2 linked regions of the Coturnix japonica genome follow. The protein of the gene in region 1 purifies or fractionates together with the protein of each later gene. This does not show direct contact. Links are inferred from orthologs where the notes say so. Each region holds a gene or a part of one and is shown on either strand. Other genes may lie near its edges. The genes, in order: ABCC1 and VDAC3.

Region 1 (11,661 bases):
AACAGAAATGATCCCACTGGACACAGTGGAGAAATTTACATAACGAAGAATTACATAAATTACTCTCCAAGAGCTTTACAGGATAAGTGAACATATAAAAGACACCATCATGTCATCTCTTTATACTCTGTAGAACAAGAGGCTCTTCAATGCTTGTGCCAGCCATCCTTCCTGGTTCTGGAATTCTATCTAAAAATGAAACATAGACATAAATGTTTTCACACACTTGGAAAGCCAAAGATGCAACCGTTATTAAGAGCTTTGATATGGAACACCATCATAGCAAACTCAGACAATTTTACAAACATGTTCTTTCAGCCAACCACATTACCAAAGATAGGATCTCAGATTGCTTCAACCCACCTCTACAAAGTCAGTTAACAGGAACATCTGACTGCAACTTCTATTGAGATCCCCGTTCCCTGTACCAGCTTATTTGAATATTCACTCAACAACATAAGCAAGAAAGGCAATTTCTAATAGTGAAAGCAAGATAGAAGTTAAATATGAGACTGAATGTTGAACATATGAATGGACTTGATTTGATAGTGCATACCCTAATCAAAATAGCCAGGTTGTATTTTAAAACCACTGCCTGTAGGTCTCCATGGGTATATTCCATAAACTCATACAGAAAGGAACAACTTCCAACTCTGCTTTCATATTTTTGTTTAGTTCAAAGAGTAACATGTTGTCATGTCTTACAATGAATCCTGAGGCTTGTAACTAACTCTAAGCAAATAAATCCCTATGTGATATATTACATTGGGATTAGCAGGGCAAGGTGACTGTGCAGACTCAGTTTCAGAACTGGGACAATTATTCACATATTTAAAAAAACAAAAACAAGCACTTGTTTAATAATGACATTTTTAAAAGATATGAATTTCTGATAAGAACCTTCTAACAAAAAAGATAAGTTATAGCAGCTTTGGTACCACATTTTATGTCTTCAGCCCCCTCTACTGGCAGAAGAGCAACGACATCGTCTTCATCAAATACTAAGAAAAGGTGCTTACTCTGTACTTCCTTATACTTCTTAGAAACTGTAATAACGTCTTAGACCTCAGATTTATTCAAATTTCTGGATACAATAGGAACAGGTGGCAGTGCTATGATGGGAAAACAATTTGTTGGGTCCACATTTAGATGAGTTTTCAGCTTTTCACAGTCCAAAAGAATTGAAAGAATAAAGCTAAACAATTTGGGTTTTTTTTTGCTTCCCTTTAGTATAACAGATAGCTACAGCTACCGCATGGTAACAAGAGCTTCACAGTAACTTTTACACTGCAAAAAAATTCTACACATTTTGCTATCCCTGCTTTTCAAAACTGCCTGCTTTCTAAATAAAATATCCATTCCAGTAAAATATCCATCATCTTTCCGCTGGGCAACCAGATTTGTATGCAGTACATTAACATACCAACAGAAGAGAAGCAGACCTAAGAAGCTGTGTCAGTTGGACACTTATTTAAGTAAAGGAACATAGAGGTAGTTTTAGAAATCAGAAGTTAGATTTTGTAGGGCTATTCTTAAATGAATATATGAGCAAGAGGGATGGTCAGGTCACATGGTTTAATGGTATTCTGACATATAAACAATGTCCTACATGGTTTAATGGTATTCTGATGTATAAACAATGTCCTACTGCAGAAATTTCTCTATAGAAAAGGTTTCCTTGCACAGAGAAGGAAGTACCCTGTGCGCACTCACGTGTTTACACAGTTATCAGCAAACCCAGCTCATAGAAAATGAAGTCACAAATAAAGCTCCTGTGAAGATGACCCTATACTCACACCCACCTTTCTGATTCCTCTCAGTAGATGGTTTGGCAAAGTTCTGCCTTGGATAACTCAGCAACGACACCTTTGGATGAGTACTCTGGGTACTTTCTTCATTACCACGATGTAAGAAATGCGATATAATTCCATATAAGAGGGGTCTGCTCAAGGCAAAAATCACAAAAGCCGTCTATGAGATATATTAACTACTGAGCATTTGAAAAAAATAACCGAACAGCTTCTCCTCAGAAGTTCTTACATCCTAATGTTCACTTCTAAAGAACATTCAGATATCTTCAGAGTAGCTATTTAAAATTCATTATGCTAAATGCAATTATATAAATAAGCACAGGCACAAGCCACCCCTCAAGACCACCCCCTCCCCATAGCTTGCACTAAGGGACGTTCTCAGCTGAACTCCAGATCACTTGCAAGCAAAGAATCAGGGCATACCAAGAACAGGTACGGAGCCATGTTGTCATGCAAATTAAACATGTGATCAGTGGGCTATTGGCTTGAGCACCACCACGTATCCCAAAATACATTTATTACTAAGCATGAGACAGATTGTGTGGGCCCAAGATATAGGGCATCACCAAACATGTCTAAACCTGCTTCTGTACCCTAACAAACCCAGTTGCATCAGAACACTGTGAATTTATATCTTATCTCACAGCGCAATAATCTTTTTACAGCTTTGCGTATCAAATCAATAATGTGTAAAGAACAGGTTTTCTTCTGACTGAAAAGACTGAGGTGGTATGAGGCTCAGCCACACAATTACAACAGCTAGTGAGCATATTCTATAGCGTTCACAGAACTTAATGCTACTTTTGAGGATGTTTGAAAACAGCCCCATGCTTGACACTGTGCGCTTGAACACAGCATGGTTAGAGCAGCTGTGTGATCCAGTCATACTGAGCTGGTGACTGAACATTTCTATGTGATTTATACAATCACTGTGGAGACACACGTGCAGGGTACATCGTGTGTTCCCAAATCAATCCTTACACTGATTTCCCATTCGCATCTTCAACGATGTTCAGCTCCTTGACCAGAAACTGTCTATCCAAGGGCACTTCAGGCTGGCCAGCTTCTGGAAAACAGATCATACAGCAAATGTCATTACCTACCACATCTAAGGACAATTACAGACCTTAACAACTTTAGATATAAATTAGAGCTACCAGTTAAATGCTGTAGCTCTCAAGTCATGCAAGGTGTTTTGGCTTTGTAGGCTGCTGGCAAACTGTTTTGCTCTTCCATCATCTGATCCGTCAATGTAAACTCTATTTACCTCAAGGATAAGCAACTGAGAACACATTTTCTTAAAAACTAATGGTATAATTTGGTGTTACGCTGCAAATAACACAGCAAAGGTTGTTTGTATCCTGTTTGTTTCCAGGGTTAGCCAAGATCACACAGCCTGTTCCCACCTGATTGCATGGCTTCAGTTACCCAGCCAGGCGGTGGATAGTAATGACAGCAGCGATGACACCACGCACAGCCCAGTACCTGCAGTGAGCACAGACGCCGCGTATTTGTACTTGTTGAACTCCAGGTATTCCCGGATCAGCTCATTGATCAGCAGGTTCTCATCAGACAGCGGTGGCCGCGGTTCGCTTTGGTCATCCAACGCGTTGAACACCTCAGCTCTGATCCTGGCTCTTATCTGCCCCAGGGCTCCTCTTTTTTCCAGCGTGTCCTTTAAAACTGTCACCATAAAAACTCAGTTAATATAAACCCAAAAGCGCTGGAGCAGCATTCACCCCCCTGCAATACAAACACCATTCCCGGATACTCGTGATGAAATTAAGAAAACCACACCCGTGTACGGATCGCTGTGTGACAACACTGTTAGATACAGATCGGTATTGCCTACAGGTGTGGGCGTTGAAGAAACATGGGGGATGCTTCAAATGCTTTTCAATGAGCAACAAACGGCTCCGCCACTCCCCAAGGCGAGCAGCCAGCAGCCTGCAGCCCCGTTAAGGCTCGGAGCGACCCTTGTCTGCCCTGCCGTCCCTCCCGCAGCCCCTCAGCGCTCCATCCACCTGCTTTCAGCTCCGCGATCGTCGCCATCTCACAACAACCACCGCCCTGACCCGGATGCGGCCAACGGCCCCCAGCGGGCGGGCACCGCGCAGGCTCTGAGGCGCTGACTGGGCGGGCTGAGGGCGGGCCGGTGTGACGGGAGCCGCTCCTAGCGCTTGTGGTCCCTTGTGCTGCCGGGATGTCCGCTGGGAAGGGCAGGCAGGGGTAAATAGCGAGCAGGGTAATAGCAGGCAGCACATGTGTGTGCGGAATTACTCTCACATTGGTGTCCTGTGTGCGCCTGCTGACTGCTCAGCGAGCGGAGGCTGAGGAAGGGCGCTCTGGTATTGCTGTAGTGCTCTCCCCTCTAATTTCAAAGAGTATTTATTAGTGTGCTAAGAGAGTCCATCCATAGAGAGTTTTGCTCGAGGTCTCTCAAAAATGAACGTTCCACAGACCAAAAACGAGATTCTGTTTAGAAGGACCCGCCTGTAACACTGCCGGGGCTGTGTGGGGCTGTGGTGGCTCCGGGGCAGGTTTGGTGCCTCGCCGTGCTCTGAGGAGCTGACTGTTGGCTCTGTGGATGATGAACCATTTCCCAAATCAGTTCAAATCTTTGCTGTTGATTTTTGTTGGAGTTTCTAATAGAGGTGGAACCAACTGGAAGAGAAATAACTTGTGTTGTCGTGCACAGAGGATGAGTAGAAATCTTACAGATTGTGTTATCTATTTGGCAGTATTTCTCCTGGCTTCTCTTATCAAGTACTACAAAAAAATTCTTCCATCTTATCAAGTGGAACTGGTGACTTTTATTGATTGTGAGAGCTATTAACTTTATAAGCACTGCAGATTAAACTGGAGGAAAGGCAGCGCTGACAGGCTCGGGGCAGCAGGAGATATGTCAGCTATTTCCACAGGTGCTGTAGTGAGCATCAAGGCACCAAAACCCACCCGTGCACCCAGCAGGGCTTTAAGATGAATGTAGTGTACAAAACAGGGCAGAAACCCTTAATAAAAATAAATCTGAGGAATCAACATGAAGGCAGCGCTGTGGATATTTTAACAAGGTGCAGCTTAGGGTGTAAAAGAACATTGTAAAGCGGCGTTCTGTCTCTAACTTCGATGGCTGCTCTGCAGGTTGAACTGATGCACTGAAATGCGGAGCGAGAGACCATCGATTTGCACCGCGGGGCGGCGGGTGGCTTCACTAGTAGCGTATTTTAGTGCGAACTGCGGGTGGAGCCGTTTTGGTGAAGCTGTTTTGGTTCAGTTTCAGTTCCCGCTAGCAACAATTAGAAGTGGCTCAGGGTTTTGAAACCAGTCGAACTGGTTCACGTTGGGAAGTCAAACGCTTGAAAACGAGACGAGGTTTTGCTGCGGCTTTTCCCCGGTCGGTGCCGGGGCTCCCGAGGGGCAGCGCGGATCCCGGGGCGGTTGGACCCCGCGGGCAGCGCGTGTTCGGTGCCGCGGGAGCCGGGGCGGCAGTTGCGACCCGCAGGTGAGCGGCAGGAGCCGAAGCTGTGCCGGTATCGCCGAGCGGGAGCCGAGCCCGTTCCTACTCTGACCCCCCCCAGCCCCGGAGCGGCCCCGCGTGGCACACACGGCCCGGCAATACACACCGCCTGCCCCCGCCTACACCGAGGCGTGGCCGCGCGGCGCCGTCGGGGCCCGCATCCCCGTGACCGCGGAGCCAATCAGGGCCCTGCGCCGGCGCCGTCGGCCGCCGCCGCCCGGGCACGGTATAGAGGTGCGGAGTGGGAAGCGCAGCGCTGCCGCGGCGGGTCGGCTCGACGCCACATGGGGATCGAAAGCCTGTGCGGTGCGGACGGCTCCGAGCCCTTCTGGGTGAGTGAGGGCGGGATGGAGCCGCGGAGCATGAGGGTGGTCTCCGGTGGGCGGTTCGTGCGGGGGGAACCGAGGAGCGAGCTGCGGCCTGAGGACGGGAAGCGAGATGAGCCGAGCTCCTTGTGCGTGGAGCAACAATAACAGCGGGCGGCTGCTGGCGGCACGGAACGGCGGCGTGCTGCCCTGGGGGGAGGCCGAGGACGCTCTTGCTGCAGGGCAGCGGTTGTGTCACGTTTGTGTAGCACTGTTTTGGGTCGTCTGTAATGATCAGCGCTGAGTGCGACTGAGGGATGTGCAGCCTTGTGGTCCGAGGAGGCTCCCGAGTGCCGGGGCAGCGGGGGGGGGGAAAGCCTTGTGCGGGGCGGAGCTGGAGGATGGGGGAGGTTTTGGGTCGTTGTTTGAGGTGATGCCGGGATGCGAAGAAAACACGTGGCTGTTGTCGGGCTGTTAAAAGAACTTGCGGCTGTTGGTCGGATGTTTGCAGATAGTTGTGAGCTAATGAGCTGCATTCACCAGCTCAGGAGAGATGAGATCATGTCATCAGATACCGTTGTGCCACTTATCTCAAGAACCGTTAAAATATTACTTAGCAAACACTATAAAAGCCATTAGCACTTGGAGGTGTTTGCCTTTTACCAGCGGATCGAAAACAACCCATTCTTATATTGCTGATATTAATATCTTTTTCCAGTTGATTTTTCAGGTTTCTCAAAACTGACCCTTGAGCTCCCATCAGCTGTTCTGGTTCTGGTGTCTGTTTTCCTGAGATCCAGGCCTTTGTACAGGAAAGATTTTAGATGCCGCGTGTTTCAGACTTCGATTTATGGAAGAACTTATTTGAGATTTATGAATAACTGTGGAGCTGAACCATCAGGTGGCTGCAGGAACTGGGCTGCCATGCTTGCAACAGCTCATTTGCGTGGCTTTCTGATGACAGCGTCTCTTACGTAAACAGGCTTTTTGGTGTGTAATGTGGTTATTTATGAAGTTCTTGGCACGTTGTAAATCTGTTTTTTTTCACTCTCTGCCCTGGTTCCCAAAATGCAGGCAGTTTGGTGATTTGTCATCCTGCTCCGAGCCACGTGGCGCTGGCCTTTCATTTCATGAGTAAAAGTTCCTCTGGGTGTGGCTGCTTGGTCTCTGGATTCTTCTAATCCTTCAGAACAATTATGAGTTCTCACTGATGCAAGATGTGTCTGGCAAAGTATTCTCCTTTATAGAACTTGTCCTGTCTATCCGCCTTGTTCTGTTGTTTGCTGTGTTGGGAAAGGTAGAAATGCTGCTATTGGCGGCTTTGGATACTCGGGGTGTATTTTATGGTATTTCTATAGCAGCAACAGTTATTTGAAGCCAAAATTGTAATGGCTTTCCACAAAATGCCTGCGTGTAAGCTGTGTTTATTGGCCTTCCAGATACCACTTGTGTGCGTGCTATGGACTGTCCTGTCTTGTGGAGTGTGTGCTTCCTGTTCCCAGCACTGCTTTGCACTTAGGATACGGGTGACTGGTGTCTTTGCATTCTTGTGGTCAGCTGTGGTCACATCAGATGTCCTGGTGCTGGCAAACCCCGCTGCTATCAGTGAGGAGATGTGCTTCCTTTCATGCCTGGTGTTGAACTTGGGACAACTCAGTTTGAAATTGCAGAGGAAGCTTCATAGGCTGGAAGGACCCAATGCACCTTTAGAAACTGTGTGCTAATCTTCTTAAACCTTGCTGCCCGGGATTTTTCTTGTTTGTACACTCAAGGAATGTTATTGTTGAAAATCCTTGTTTGAGAATTAAACAGATGGATTTTATTTAATACCCGCTGTGAAAACAAAGCGGCCCCGTTTGCATCTTCTTCAGTGCTTTGCTTCCTCTCCCTGTTGAACCTCTAGTGCCCAGCGTGAGAACTTCCAGCCCAATCAGTGGAACAAGCACAACTTGTATGTGGAACTTCACTGTTTCTTGTCATTCTTTGAATCACAGTTCCTTCTTGGAAGGGTGCTTTCTCATCCTTGTGTCATCATAGAGTATCTCACTGATTGTTTCATCCATAACATCAGGTTGTAGCTGTGTAAGATACTGATAACACTAAGAGATTTTGCTTTTATTTTTAAGTGAAAACTTGTGGGTTGGGGGAAACATTCAGAGGAACCTGCATTTCAATGTATTGTCTGTTTAATAGGAAAAGTAGGCTGTGGTCTGGAGTGCTGAGATCGCTGTGCCTTGAATGTCACAGGAATGGGAATGCAGTGTGTGCTGTGAAAAAGAACTGTGAGATACGGAAGAGCAAACTCAAGCAGTTCCGTACAGTCCCTCTCCAGCTGCTCTGCCAGCCTTTATGTGCAGACTGTTATTCATTAGAAGATGTTTGTCAGTCAAGTAGAATCTGAAATGTTGGGGTTTTTGCTTCTACCTGCAGGTAATTTTATTGAAAGCGAGTTTTGAAGGAAGAACAGCGTTTTGTGGAAGGGATGTTTGATGATCTGAGTTGTGTGGCTCATGCTGTCATGTATTAGCTAAGTGCTAAATCAGTACATCTCTTGAGTACCAAAGCTTTTTGCACTGTAGATGCCTTCAGTGCATTTCCTGAAGCGTAACATAACCTAGGAAATAACTGCGCAGATAAGATCGTTACTTTGTAATGTATCAGTAACACATTTTTATAAGCAGCGATAGCTCACAGTAACAGCAGGAGTGTGCCATGGGAGGGTGCTGGTGTGGATATCAATGTGAGATGGCTGCATTCAAGCTGTCACGTAAAGTTGGGCAGGTCGGCAGAGATAGCTTGGGGAGCCTGGGTGCAGGTGTGTGTCTGCGGTTCATACTTAACAGGCTTCATTTGCTTTTAATTTTTGTGTTTGTTTTCTTCTTCCAGGCTTAGCTGAGTGGGAGGTCGCTGATATCTTAGTGGTAAACAAAAGGCACAGAAGAATAAGGAAGTTAAATACATATAATAGCATAAAGCGGCGCGATAGATGCATATCACACACACAAGTCTAAGTTATTCACAAAGACAATTGATGATTTGGAAAAACAGGGAGAAGAAAGAGTGATGTTCTTGCAGGGATGTGTAGTCTTGAGTTACAGAAAACAAGAGATTGGTGCTTAAGTGGAGGCAGAGTTTGGACCTAGTTTAGGTTAGTAATAAGATTTCTTGGTTTTCAAACCTTCTTCACACTGATTATTTCTACACGGGTTTCCTTAGTGCTGTTTGAAGGCACAGGTTGTATCTTGTAGTAATTACTGCCTGCAGTTGGTTGTAGTTGGATTGTACTTCAGAGTGTTTGTGGCAGAGCAGGGAGGCAGCTGGGGGTGGTGCTGGTGTGAGCTTGGTTCGAAGTTGTGAATTTAAGTTTTCCCTTTAAATTATAAAGGAATCAACTTGATCAACTGAAAACCTTCGTGTGAAGAATTGAAATGAGTGCGCAGATCATAAAGTACCTGCATTTCCTGACCTAAAAAGGTCACGTGTGGGCAGGATTTGCGACAGAGGAGGAGCAGAAGGTTAAAGCCTTTACACAAGATGGTGCCTTTATTATAATTAGCAGCTAATTGTCAGGCTCTCATTGCTCGGTTGTGGCTTCATCCACTGATGAAAGCCAGATGCAACTTGTCGGCTCTCTCACGTTTAAGCCTGAAAAATGAGTCTTGGTGGTGGTTGCTCTCACAGGAATTATTATTACCTCTGTTGATTCAGGGTTGATCGGCTTAGGGGAGGTACAGGAAAACGAACCTGATGCTGTGTTTTAGATAGAAATTTCCATAACAGATTGTCTGTCATTTTATGGCTGTCATTTCAGTGTGACTGTCTCAAGGTTGCTCAAAGGATTTAAACCCCAGGGGTAAGTTGTGCCGCTCCCAGCAGCCACGGTGCAGTTTACAGGGAAGCACTGTGCTATACTCAGACTGAAGGAGGTTAACCAGGGTTGCACTGGAGTCATTGTGGGTCACTTCTCTATAAAGCTGTCGGCAGGGACTGACCTTTCCCTTACTTTTAATAGAGTTAGAATTCCATGCATTACCTTTCCCCCCCCCCCCTCACTGTTTGTGCCTGGTGGGAGCTTCAGATAAAGTTTATTAAACAACAACAACAAGGAGGTGCTAACAGGGTTATCTTTCTTTTCCTGCATCCTATTAAATTGATTTCATTTCGAAAATTTACAGATAGATAAATGCTGCCCTTTTGATTCTGAAGCTGTCATTGGTAGACAATAATTTATTGTCACACGGTTGCATACTGTTTCCTGGTACACAAGAATCATTGCACCTAGAAAAGTATTTTAAACTGCCAGCTGCTTCTGATGAAATCTGTGATAAGTTTATCCAACCCACAGAAATAATGCCATGTTCCAGAGGCTTTTTGGCTTGGAAATTCCACAAGTGCAAATGTTCCCTTTTCTGGCAACTTGTTGGCACCAGCTGCTTCTTTGAGCCTAAAGGGAAACAAAGGCAAACCGTGCTGTTTTTCTGCCTTTGTACGCATAGTTTCAGCTGATGCTGTGCTATATATTACAAGGGATTTCATCTCATTGTTAACAACAGGAAATGCTGTTTTTTGAGATTTGAAGAAGGAGCCGCAGGCACCAGGACTGGAAGGTGGAAGCCTTATTTTTGAACTACGTTGGTAAATCAGGTCTATGTGATGCAAGCCATTGCTGCTGAGAACTTAATGTTAAAACCTTTTCTAGTAGATACAAGAAACTGAGGGAATGAACGAATGAAGGCGGAGAGCTGGAATTGATTCTAGAAGCACAGGATCCACTGGTGCAAGCAGTACTTGGTCCTGATAATTTGGATGAGGTGTGCATAGTTCATACAGGTGATATTAACTGTGGCTGGCAGCCTGCACCTCTTGCACACCTGTGCACAGCAGGCGTGAAACTGAGCAGTGTTGGTCTCTGTATTTCCGCTAATGAGAATTGTAAAATGTGCTGTTGGTCAAATAGGATTATTGATGTGAGAACAGGTGGGTGGCTGCTCAGTTAGCAGCAGCCTTTCCTGGCTGCCAGGAGGGAGACTGCCAGGCACGGGGTCCTGGCAAGCATCAAACTTTCACTCTTGAGGCCGGCCATGCTGGGGGCACACAGCTCGCCTGGCCTCCTCCTCCCCCCAGCAGCAGCTGAATAACTGATCCTTTGTGTCACAGCTTGATCTCACAGCCCTATTGCCAGTGCTACTAACTGGCCTGATCCTGACATTCTAGATGGGAATTAATGTAACTTGTACTTTGTTTTCCTTGGGATTATGCACCGTTAAATAAGTGTTTTAATTCTGAATAGATCCATGCGATTGCAGGGGTCATCAAGCAGTTTTTGTACTCTTCTTGGAGATGGAGGATTTCACTTGAAATATAACATGGAACCATTCCGTGCTATAGGACAAAATACTTTATTTGGCACAAATCATTTGTGGCCAGATATTGTTTCTTTTCAGCCACAGTGCTCATGATGGAAATGAAAACTTTCTAAAATGAAAACTGAGCAATATGTCAGAAGATTTCAAAAATACCCATTTGCTCCTCTGCTAAACTTTAAATTCGCCAAAGGATTTTCAAAAGAAAACAACCAATGAAACCACAACACCTGGGATGAGGGTTTCATGGAGAACAACATGCAGCTGATGGTCTCTCCCAGCACCCACCAAGAAACCAGCAGGAATCTCTATGCGACTTCTGCTGTGAGAGCCTGAGCTCATGGTTCAGTGTAAAGTAGCTTCCAAATTATACAACACAGTAACTGTAGAACTAAACAGCTTTTTTTTCTCCCTCCTACTGCATTGCAGGAGGCTGCTGGTTTGCATAGAGCTTTTAATGCATACTCGGACCCCTGTCACCTGATGCTCTCTTTAAAATAGAAGCGTTAGATGATTGATCAGAGTGAAAAACAGTAAGAAATGAAAGTTTAGTGCTTGAATAGGGCTTGCTAAAATCACTTCTAGTAGTTGAGTCGCAGAAAAGCATCGTTTTTGCTAATTAAGTTCTATTAAATGCTACATACAAAGGTTTTACTACTTTGATC
Region 2 (11,574 bases), on another chromosome or scaffold:
AAGGTAGTATAAGATTACCCACCTGACCTGTCCAGGTTTCCTGTGTGTTTTTAGCTTGTGTATTGTCCTTGGGTCTGCTTCTGGCACTGTGCTCAGATGTTACCCCAGCAGGAATGGTGTTCAGCTCTCTGCTGGCTTCCTTTTGTCCCTAGTTCCGCTTCAACCCACCCGAAGTGGGACTAGGGGAAAGTCCCACATCTGGGAGAGCTATTCTGAAGATGTAGAGATTGGGTTGGTTCTGTGTGGTGAGAATGGGGAACTTTTGGTGATATAAAAATTCTATTGTTTCTTCTGATACCACTTTTAATTAACTAAAATTTTAAGTTGCTCCCCATACCCCTCTTTCAGACACTTTTACTTTCCTATACACAGATACTTTGAAGATTTTGAGAAAAGAATCCCAAGGGAAGAAATGTTGCAAATGCAGGTCAGAAAGTCTTTGTCAAAGACTTGAGGCATGGAAGGCCAATGAACAACTGGCACCTTGAAACATTCATCTTTCCTTATTCTGTAGGAAATCGTGCTGAAAGAGGTAAAGAACTTGGACCCAGATTATATTGCTACGGTCTGTGGCAGTTTTAGACGAGGTTGGTACGCTGATCTTCTGTGTTTTATTTTGGGCAAAGCAGCAGATCACGATAATACATGCTTTTCTGGAGAGTAAGTTTATGCTGAAGTCCAGCTTTTCCTGTTACTGTTGTCTTTAATGGGTTAGTGCAGTAGTCAGACACCTTGTTTGTGCTTCATTACTAGAGAGTATAGCAGCACATGCTGGATGTTCTCTGAGAAATGTAGTGATAGCAACTTCAATGGAACAGAAAAGGTTTTCTTCCTTTCAGATCAGTTTTTCACATGTATCTGGAAAATTCACTGACTGTTGTTCTCTACAAGAAATATGTGTTTATCAGAAGAGGTTAGGAGCATTTTTATCAGTGTTCATATATACTTCTCATCTTATCTGGGAGGAATTTTCTTTGCTTCTTACTTGCCCAGGTGCAGAGTCAAGTGGAGACATGGATGTTCTCTTAACCCATCCAACTTTCACATCTGAATCATCCAAACAGGTGTGTTTCTCTGCTACCATGTTTAGTATTGAGCAGCATTTCCAAAAGAGTATTTTAAATTCAGATGATATGCAGCGTCAGACTTGCATTTCAGCTTCCTGCATCTTTTTGTAGCTGTTGGATCACCATTCTTATTTTGAGTAATTAATGCATGGCTCTGAGAAGCAGTTTTATGTTGAGTTCTCAGCATAGTGTGTTTGTTCTCATCCTCAGTCTTCTTCCCCAATTCCTCCTGAATTAATGTACTATACAAAGTAGAATTGTAACAACTATGTGAATAAGGCAGCAGTTAAAGTATCTCCTTAGGTAGCCTCCTTTTCTTGGAGGTGAAGCAGATGTCCTGCTGCCCTTATAGTCTCTTGTGGCTACCTCTGAGGAAGGCCTAATGATAATCCCTTTTTCCCTGTTGCTTCTATGGATTGATTGCAACAAAATTGAAGACTCAAACCAAGAAGCAATTTTTGTCACTCTAAGTGGAAACAATCTGGCATGGATTTCACTAGAAACTTTTCAACATTGTAATTTTATTAGTTCTTTTTCACTGTTGCTCTGATTCTCGTCCTCTTGGTCAAATTTCATGTTGGTATTTCACATAAGTTCATGTGGTGTCCTATGGTTATGTCCTGCAGCTAAACAAGTAAGATATTCTTGTTGTAAGTGAAGTAATTTTTTCTGTGTTGTTACTGTTCCCAGTCAAAGCTTCTGCATAAAGTTGTAGAACAATTGGAGAAAGTCCACTTTGTCACTGATGTGCTGTCTAAAGGTGACACCAAATTCATGGTAAGACCTTTCAGGGGATGTGGTGGGCGTTATCTCTCCTGACAATGCATACAACAGTGTTTGGGCTGCTGCTGGTGTGGGATTCTTCGTATTTTTTTCCTCTTAAAAACTCGTTGCAGTTGTGACTCAGTGAATCTTTTGTTAAAATGGAAAATAATTCCTGTCATCCTTGCTGTTATATGACTGAAGAAGTAATTATGTGCTGTATTGAGTTACAGTCCTCTTATCAGCTGTAGCTCCCAGCACTGGTGACGGCCAGCTGTTCTAACAAAACATTTGATTGGCTAGATAAGAATTTAATTTTACTCCAGGCTAACTGATGATTAAATACAAGCTGCGTGCATTTGGAAATGTGTGTTTTAAAAGTTTGTGCAGCACTGGGGCAGTCAAGAACAGTGAAGCTCTATAATGTAAGCCTATCTCAGACCTGTTACACTTAATTTTAAATTTTGCACTTTCTTTACTTCCCAGGGTGTCTGCCAGCTGCCAAATAAAGAAGATGGAGCATCTTATCCACACAGGAGAATTGATATTCGGTATACTTTCCAATAAAAAATTTATCTGTCTGCTGTATAATAGACATTCATTTAATGTTCTGCATCCAAATCTCTGTTTCCCTGTTTAGAAGAAGGCATTTACTAGATTTCCAATTACCTTGTATGGAAACCACTGTCAAAGTGCCCGTGTCTGGAGCAGGTTATTAGCAGGAATGCTGTACTTAAATAACAGCTCTGTATCCAGTTTCAGAATTGTGACCTACTTGACAATACTGTTTTGCCATGAATTCTTGGCAGCAATGAAAGCATCGTAACAATAGGTTACGAGTCATGTTAGATGTGTCATACCTTTCTCTGGTAATGTTCTTCATTCTTGAGTTAGGGCATCTGGAAAAATGAAATAGTCAGAGTTGCAGAATGTGTGTGTTTGAGCACAGTTCTAGATCTGTTCCCTTCCAAAGTGGCTGAATTCCAAATGGCGTGTAGCTTCATATTTGTCCTAAATATATACTTCTCTTCCATTTTTATTCCAGGCTTATCCCTAAAGATCAGTATTACTGTGGTGTACTGTATTTCACAGGCAGTGATTTATTCAATAAGAACATGAGAGCCCACGCTCTGGAAATGGGCTTCACAATCAACGAGTACACAATCCGTCCCTTGGGTGTCACTGGTCAGTCTGGGCTTTTAAACAGTGTTCTTTCTAGTTGCATGTTTTCTGTGATCCTCTCCTTTAGTCATCTTCTCAATTGGAAATCTTGGCAAATACTGCAGTTAACAACATTATTCACTCTGTCCTTCCTGGAACTGTAAAACCATTTTAGCAGAGGGAGACAAGCTGCTAATGTACAGACAGAATTGTGGAACAAAATGAACACATTGGGATGCATGATCTGCTTGGTCTTAACTGAACTGCAGCTTGGATTTGCTCTGCAATGCACAGCACACATTTTCTCATTCTTTTAACTTGATTCATGTCTTTCAATTGTTTCCCATTGGAGGGTGGGGGGGGGGGCTGACTGCACATTGTGTGTGTCTATTTTAATTGTATAAGCATTATAGCCGCGTAGTTAATTATTTTTCTTGTGACACTGAGAATGATTACCTAAATATTGTGTGAAAAACTATGGGTGGTGGTGGTTCTCTGTGGGGGTCGGGCTTTTCTCCTGTGTGTTCTTTGGGGGGAGGGTACTCATCAGTTCACTTGCAAGTATGTTTTGCTTACAGTGAAATCGATTGTCTTGATCTTGCAGTGCTTTTGGCAGTGCAGGATTACATGGAATTTCCACCTTTCCAATAGCATCTGTAATGTGCTTGCAGGAGTTGCTGGGGAGCCCCTACCAGTAGAATGTGAGGAAGACATCTTTGACTACATCCAGTGGAAATACCGGGAGCCAAAGGATCGGAGCGAATAACTGCCTGTATTTGTAACTGAGCTTTCGTGGTGTTTTGTGAACGTGCATATTGAAAACGTGCAGGGTCTTTGGATGTTCTGCAACAAATGTGCATTACTGATCTTTAAAAGGAGGGTATTTGTAGTAAAGCTTAAATCCTTCCTGTGCTTTAGAGAAAGTGGATGAGAACCCAGTGTGAAACAACTCCCTGAAGGGTGTTCATAGTCTGTTTTTAGCTGTGCTTGTCCTGGTAGCCTGAAATACTTCCTGCTGTTTTAAGCTATAGCCACCCCCTGCCCCTTAAATATGTCACACTGCTGCTTTTTGTCTTAACATTCCTAATATTTTAAAATAATGTCATTTGTTCCCTGTCCATTCTTTCCATTCAGCTTGAGTATTGTAGAGCTCTGCAGGCTCCTGTGTAGATACAGATGTTTGTGGAGGGGGGCTCTTCAGATGAAATAAACTATTTACCTGAAGAAAGAAGTTCACTTTTCTATCTCTCCCTTTTCTGCTCCTTATTGTTCAGGGGTCCGTTCTTGCATTTGAGGGGTATGATTTAACTGGGCAGTATTGGTGATGGTTGGACTGGATGATCTTCTAGGTCTTTTCCAACCTTGATAATTCTGTGATAAACTCCTACAGGTGGGAACCCTCCTTCCTGATGAAGGTGCAGATGCTGTTTTGCTGTAAGGTGTGGTTTCCTTCTTAAACCTGAAGGTTCCAGAAACCTGGAGCAGTAAAGCCCAAGCAAGGTCTGATTTGGCTGTTACTCTAAAAGCACATCCACCTGCTGTGACTGCAGCCAACTAACAAAGGCTTTTAGTAGCTGACCGTGATTATACACCTGTACTCTTGCTTTTCTTTTGTATGAAGCCTGGTAGTAGAAACGCATTTACTATATTTACTATAGTCTCATAGTCTCGTGCGGGTTGGAAGGGACCTTAGAGATCACCGAGTCCAACCCCCGGGATTCGAGCCTCTGTGTAGCAGAGCGGCACTTCTACCACTTGCGCCACAGGGGGGATTCGAACCCAGGTCTCCGGTGTTGCAATGCGGCATTCCTACCACTTGCTCCACCGGGGCACATACTATGATATGATTTACCGGCTGCGGGAGCGGCTCTACGCATGCGTAGAAAAGCCGGGGCTCTACGCGTGCGGAGCGCGTCACCGCTCTGCGCATGCGGAGCTCTACGCATGCCGACCTCCGCGCCTGCGCCCCCCTCTCGCTGCGCATGCGCACCCAGCAGCGCTTCGGCTTCCGCACGCAGAGCGTTTCGCAGCGCGGTCCGGCCGGCAGGGCGCGGTAGGGCTGCGGGGCCGGTCCGGAGCTGGAGCTGTGGTCGTTGCGGCCCATAGTCCCTTGGTTGGGTAGGGGCTGGCTGTGGTGTCGGTGGGACGGGAGGCCGTGAGGGCGCGGCCCGTCGCTCCTCGCGCTGCGTTCTGCCCATAACGGGTGTTTTTCACCGGTTTAGCGACTCATTTTGATCCCTCCGGTTTGGACAGGAAGGTGGTTTGAGCAGCGGCCGCGTTTAGTGCTTATTAATCGGCATCGGTGCGGCCGCAGCTCGAGTGCTGTGTTCAGGTTTGGGCCCCTCACTGCAAGAAAGACATTGAGGCCCTGGAACGTGTTCAGAGGAGGGAAACAAAGCTGGTGAGGGGTCTGGAGCACAGGCCGTATGAGGAGCGGCTGAGGGAGCTGGGATTGTTCAGCCTGGAGAAGAGGAGGCTCAGGGGAGACCTCATTGCTCTCTATAACTTCCTGAAGGGGGGTTGTAGTGAGCTGGGGCTCGGCCTCTTCTCTCGTGTAATCGATGATAGAACTAGAGGGAATGGTTTTAAGCTGCGCCAGGGGAGATTCAGGCTGAACATTAGGAAGTATTACTTTTTGGAAAGAGTAGTCAGGCATTGGAATGCACTGCCCAGGGAGGTGGTGGAGTCACCGACCATGGGAGTGTTCAAGAAACGTCTGGATGTTGTGTTGATGAATATGATTTAGCCGGGAAGTATTGGGCTAGATGATCTTCTAGGTCTTTTCCAACCTGGATAATTCTGTGATTACATCAGAGGAGGGAGCTGCAGGCACTCTGCTTGCTGTAAATCCTCCAGGCCCACAGTTGTGTCAGTAGTTTAATTTCCTACTGGAGAAGAGTCTCCACGCTTCTTTTTGTGTCTTGTCTTGTTTTCTAAGCTGGACGTTCTGCTGTGAAATTCCTTTAAGAAAGGCCATAGTTTTACATGCCTCCCTTTGGGTTTTGTTGTCCATTTAAGTCACAGCAGCAGCGTGTGTTAGAAGGTGCTGTTGGATGTACATGCACAGCTTAGAAATGATTCCAGCTTGTGGTTCCTTATCAGTGAGGCACACAGAGGGTACCTGCTCATAGAGGTCTATAAATGCTTTGGACATAGGTTAGATTTTGTGCTGTTTAAATTTAAGATTTTTGGCACTTCCATTCTGTTTCAGATCCAATGGCTGCCCCACCATCATACAGCGACTTGGGAAAGGCTGCCAGGGATGTATTCAATAAGGGTTATGGTAAGTAACATGACTGAGCTTCCATGTTTCTCTTTTGTCTTAGGCAACTTGAGAACCACAACAAAGTCATTCCTATATCAGAGTTCCATTTGATTCCTTATGATGGGAATTCAACAGAGGGATGGGGAGAATTTTCCTCTTAGAGGAGAATTCCTCCCTTGGAACCAGAGGTTTGAAAGTGAATTTTGTTACTCAGAGGAAATGGTAACAGTATTGATTGGTCCCAAGATAGCAGAGATACCAAATGATGGATGTTAAGCCTGGCCAGAAACGAAGAACAGGTATATCTTATGACATTTATTGGTAAATTCTGGCTGTTAAAACCAGAAATTATGAGCCCAGCCACTCTGAATTGTCGTAGCTTCTTTGGTCATTCATCAGTAATAGCAACATCTGTTGAAATATGAAAATAGGCTGTTTCTAGCCAGTGTTCTCCATTTGTTGCACTTTGGTTGTGTAGCAAATAAGTCTTGCTTGTATACTGCAGTGAAACAGATGGTATATGCTGTTCTGTTTTCAGGATTTGGGATGGTCAAGTTGGAGTTGAAGACCAAGTCTTCAAGTGGGGTGGTAAGTACTGGGGGCTTTCACCATCCCCAGCAAGGGCAAGCTCCTGAACTGGTGGCAGTAACCTGCCAGCACATGTTGATTCAATCTTCTGCTTCTTATTTGAGGATGACTATCCCCAGTTTGTTTCTACAGTGGGATGTGGAATTGATGTAGTGGTACTTCTTTCCCTTTGGTGCACACAGATTGCTACAGAATGGCAGAATTATAGGGACGTCAGGAGATCATTCAGAACAACCCCCTGCTAAAGGAGGCTGCTGGCAGAGGAGGTTGCAGCTGGAAGCATCCAGGCAGGTTTTGAATATCTCCAGCAGCCTGACATGGGTGGCAACACTCGTCAAGGCAGGGGGTTTGGAAATGGATGGTCTTTAAGGTCCCTTCCTGCCCAAGTCATTCTGTGGTTCTGTGATTTCACAGTAAAGCTGCCAAAACAAGAAATTGCTTTCATAATTTTGGCCTTTACCCACAGTCATACATATTTTATACTGGCTAAGCTAATTCTTATAGTGAGTCTCAACTTTGAGTGCCAGCTCTTATTGCTGCTCTCCAATTGACAGGTTTATGCTGCTTTTCAGGTGCTTTTAACCATATTTGCTTTAGCCTCCCTCCCTCTCTTGCATTCTTATCACATAAATGGTGCAAGTCACTTTCATTTCTTTGGTACTATTTCATGATGTCTCACCTGAGCTCTTGATAGATTACTTGCATCGTGCACTCAGCAGATGAGGCCGAGGATCTACAACTGCTGTTAGTTTATGACATCTCTGAATATTTGTAGTTTTCCTGCCACAGAGTTATGATTCTCAGCTAAATCAGTAATAGTTCCTTACACTCTGTACATGGCAGAACATGCCAACTGATATAAGTTTTTAAAATGGGTTTTTCCTTCTCCATGCAAATTTCGTGTTGGATCCTTTTCAGCTGGTAAGAATAGTGACTATTTTGGCATGTTGGCTTTTGATTCTTTTGTCGTTGACATTTTTGTGGTGCTTACCATTCATCTGCCTGGTGGTTTTGAGCAGTGCAATCTGTGCCATGAACTTTGCCTTGTGTCCATAGCGCTTAATCTTCTGTATGTTGCCTGCATGTGAAGTCATTTGTCATCTCTGGCGATCTGAGATAAGAGCACTGTAATAACATCAGGAGGAAATCGAGATAGGTATGCTAATGGTATGTTTGCTGCTAAAGGTTTTATGCTCAGTGGTGTTACTAATGAGCATTCCGCTGCCATATGGGGCTTTGAGGATTGAAAAGAGGTTGGGTACAAAGCATGGAATTGAATTCATACTTGGGAATTAACATTATCTCCATTTCAATACATAAATGTTTTGTTGTTTTTCTTCTTTCATGTGGGTGTGGACAGTGCCATTGTTGTTTTCTGTTGGTTGTAACTGTTTCACAGGTTACAGCTGTTTGTAATCTGTGAAATGTGGTAAGTACATCATGTTCTTGAGGAAACAGCCATTGTGAACTGAAAGGTCAATGAGAAGCTGAGCTTGACTGCTGAGTCAGGCTGGAATGGGATACAAAGCCAGAATGAGTTTGGTTTTCAGCTACAGATAATCCAAGTAATGCTGCTGCGTGAAATGGCCTGATGAGAAGACTGGTTCAGAAAGTTGGGTTGATGGCAGTAGATGTTAACTGTGTGCTTTCTGCTTTCAGAAACAGATTCGGTTGTGGGAGATGGTTGTCCTTTATATGTTAAAAAAAAAAACAAAAAACTTTCACAACCTTCCTTTTGCTTGATCTGAGAATCAAACTGATGCAGATTCAGTGTCTTTACACTGAGTTTGTGGAAGTGATGTTAGAATGGTTTGTAGTGAATTGATCTTGAAGGATAGTTGTGCATCCCGACTTACGTTCTGTGTTTTCACAAGGTGGCCAGATACACCATAAAATTTCTGTGCTATTGTAGTAGTGCGGCTCAGGTGAACCTAATGAGGTTCAACACGGCAAAGTGCAAGGTTTTGCACTTGGGCTGGAAGAACCCCAGGCACCTGTACAGGCTGGGAGGAGCGGTCCTTGAGAGGAGCTCGGCAGAGGAGGACCTGGGGGTCCTGATGGACGAGAGACTCAACATGAGCCAGCAGTGCGCTCTGGCAGCTCGGAAAGCAAATGGGATCCTGGGCTCCATCAGGAGAGATATGATCAGCAGGGATAGGGAGGTGATCGTCCCTCTCTACTCGGCTCTTGTGAGGCCCCATCTGTTGTACCGTGTCCAGGTGTGGAGCCCTCAGTACAAGAAAGACATGGAGATTTTGGAAAGGGTCCAGAGGAGGGACAGGAAGATGATCAGGGGGCTGGAGCACCTCCCCTATGAGGACAGGCTGAGGGAGTTGGGTTTGTTCAGCCTGGAGAAGAGAAGGTTGCGGGGTGACCTCATTGCAGCCTTTCAATACCTGAAGGGAACTTACTCCCGGGAGGGGAGTAAACTCTTGGAAAGGGCTGACAATAGCAGGACATGGGGAAATGGTTTTAAGTTAAAAGAGGGAGGATTTAGGTTGGATGTTAGGGGGAAGTTCTTCACTAGGAGAGTGGTTAGGCCCTGGAACAGGCTGCCCAGGGAGGTTGTGGATGCCCCGTCCTTGGAGGTGTTCAAGACCAGGTTGGACAGGGCCCTGGGCAACCTGGTCTAGTAAAGGTGTATGTTTGGTGGCCCTGCTAGGCAGGGGGGTTGGAACTACATGATCCTTGAGGTCCCTTCCAACCCGGGTCATTCTGTGATTCTGTGAGTATATGTCATCTTTTCTTCATGGTGTGCTAGGAATGTATGCTCATATGGCTGTGTGCTGGCTTACTGCCTTGGACTTCCTGCTCTTTGCTTTATGCTCTGTACATTAAACACTAAGTAGGCCATCTTAAAGTTATTTTCAGAAGAAATGTATTTATTGAGATTTTGTGGCCCTTAACAAGAAGCTCTGATGTGTAGGAGCTGCTCAAATAGCATAGGACGGGGTGTTTGAAAACAGCGTGGAGAATTTGATGAAGAAAAATCAAAGGATCCAAGCAGCTTTGTATTTCAGATGAATATCTTCTTGTACGTGGCTATGGGGCAGTGAATCTATGTGAAATATAGAACAAGTTGAAGAATGTTGGAATAACAATTCCAGCTTTGGAACAGTAAAAGATAGCAAAGGTTTTCTGCTTTTTGGTGGGGAGCTTAGGGGGAATGTTGGTGAATAATTTAGGAAAAAAACGTGACAAAAGATCAAGGAGGGGTACAGGGGAATGAGGTGCCATGGCTTTGTGTACTGGGGCCTAAGAAAGCTCCAGGGCTATATCAGCACATCTTAGTAAAGGACATATTCAGAACAGAGATGCTAAAAGGAGTGTGCGTTTTGAGATGCAAAAATGACTATTTTACTTGTGGATAGGGAGGAGTGTTCTGTTGAAAGGCCTGAAGTTAGTGAGTGTTTGCGTGCTTGCATTTGACAAGCAGACAAAGTATCCAGAGTGATTAAACTCATGTTGTCCTCTTGGCAGGAATTTACTGCAGGTGGTTCTTCCAGTACAGACACAGGCAAGGCTTTGGGTAATCTAGAAACCAAGTATAAGATCAAAGACTATGGACTCACGTTCATTCAGAAGTGGAACACAGACAACACTTTGGGAACAGAAGTTTCCATAGAGGATCAGGTAAGAGGAAGTCAATACTCTGAAAATGTTTCTGCAGTTGGTATGAGAAAGTAGTATTGAGTGGAACAGAAGGCACTGAAGCAAAACTACCTGAAGTACTTATGCTAAATTTTAATGTTTTAATGCAGAAAGCTGTAAGTTTGCCTTCAGACTGAACATGTTTTGTGAGGTTGAAGAGCAAGATGAGCGTTTACAGCTTGGGGTTGCTTAAGCAAATGGTTTCTAAGTACCACTCTTAAAATAAGTAACTCCTTTCCTAAGTTAGCAGCTTTATGCTTCTTACAGAGTGCGGCAGCATTAAGTAGCAGCGCCAAAGGTAATAGAAGCTCTGTGGTGCCCTCCACTGTGTATGTCCATCTCCCTTTGTAGTTATGACTTTGTACTTTAACCGGTACATTAAAATGGAAAATGCTGATCAGCTCAGAATGAGGTTAGACAGCTCTTAGCATACAGCATCTACAGATGTCATTGTAAAAACGTGTGAGATTTGCCCTTCATGTTGTGTCATCTCCTAAGACCTGAAGTAGTGCCATAGTATCAAAACCACGTTTTGACAGAGCTGTAAAAGACTTCTCTGTTTTTCTTAACAGTTGGCTGAAGGATTGAAGGTTGCTTTTGACACTATATTTGTACCAAACACAGGGTAAATATTTTCTATTACTTTAACCCGGGAAGCCCTAGAATTGTCTCTACCTTTTGATTAGAAGTCCTTGTATGATTCTTTGCGTAAATGCTCAACATGCACTGTCACTGAATGGTCATATTCAAATACTGCAGCAGGAAATTCCTGTTCTACAGGCATTGCAGAGCACTTTGAAGGCAGTGGGCTCTGAAGAATGTGCTAAAATTGATTTTTCATCTTTTTGGCCACTGCAGATTTTTCATTGTGGTGTAGTTATTCCATTTCTCTAACTGTCCTCTCAAACAGTTCTGTTTTACATTCACTAACTTGCACTGTCTTTGTGATGGTGTTTGTGGTCCATCTGCTGTCCACTCGGTGCCTTAGGAACACGGGACAAAGTACTGTTTTTCCTAAAGCTTGTGGGCGTATGGCTCTGCACAACTGAATGAGGAAGGAGAATGACATATTATGATGAG

Evidence for each region.
Region 2: the proteins of ABCC1 (region 1) and VDAC3 fractionate together in Homo sapiens (co-fractionation; 3 studies listed by BioGRID). This does not show direct contact. The link is inferred for Coturnix japonica from reciprocal best matches to the Homo sapiens genes ABCC1 and VDAC3.

The regions. Positions count from the first base shown.
Region 1 is NC_029529.1:7,456,395-7,468,055, forward strand, and holds the start of ABCC1 (multidrug resistance-associated protein 1), read left to right. Parts: upstream 1-5,173; 5' UTR 5,174-5,612; coding exon 5,613-5,660; intron 5,661-11,661. Other genes in the region: CEP20 (lisH domain-containing protein FOPNL), read right to left, coding at 113-189, 1,803-1,942, 2,793-2,877, 3,297-3,494, 3,836-3,863.
Region 2 is NC_029537.1:4,103,106-4,114,679, reverse strand, and holds the start of VDAC3 (voltage-dependent anion-selective channel protein 3), read left to right. Parts: upstream 1-4,912; 5' UTR 4,913-4,934; coding exon 4,935-5,043; exon of another isoform or gene 5,044-5,108; intron 5,109-5,128; exon of another isoform or gene 5,129-5,247; intron 5,248-6,201; coding exon 6,202-6,273; intron 6,274-6,793; coding exon 6,794-6,843; intron 6,844-7,761; coding exon 7,762-7,764; intron 7,765-10,323; coding exon 10,324-10,476; intron 10,477-11,066; coding exon 11,067-11,119; intron 11,120-11,574. Other genes in the region: POLB (DNA polymerase beta), read left to right, coding at 373-427, 515-587, 994-1,064, 1,758-1,844, 2,316-2,380, 2,875-3,014, 3,662-3,756. UniProt on the Homo sapiens protein: Non-selective voltage-gated ion channel that mediates the transport of anions and cations through the mitochondrion outer membrane and plasma membrane.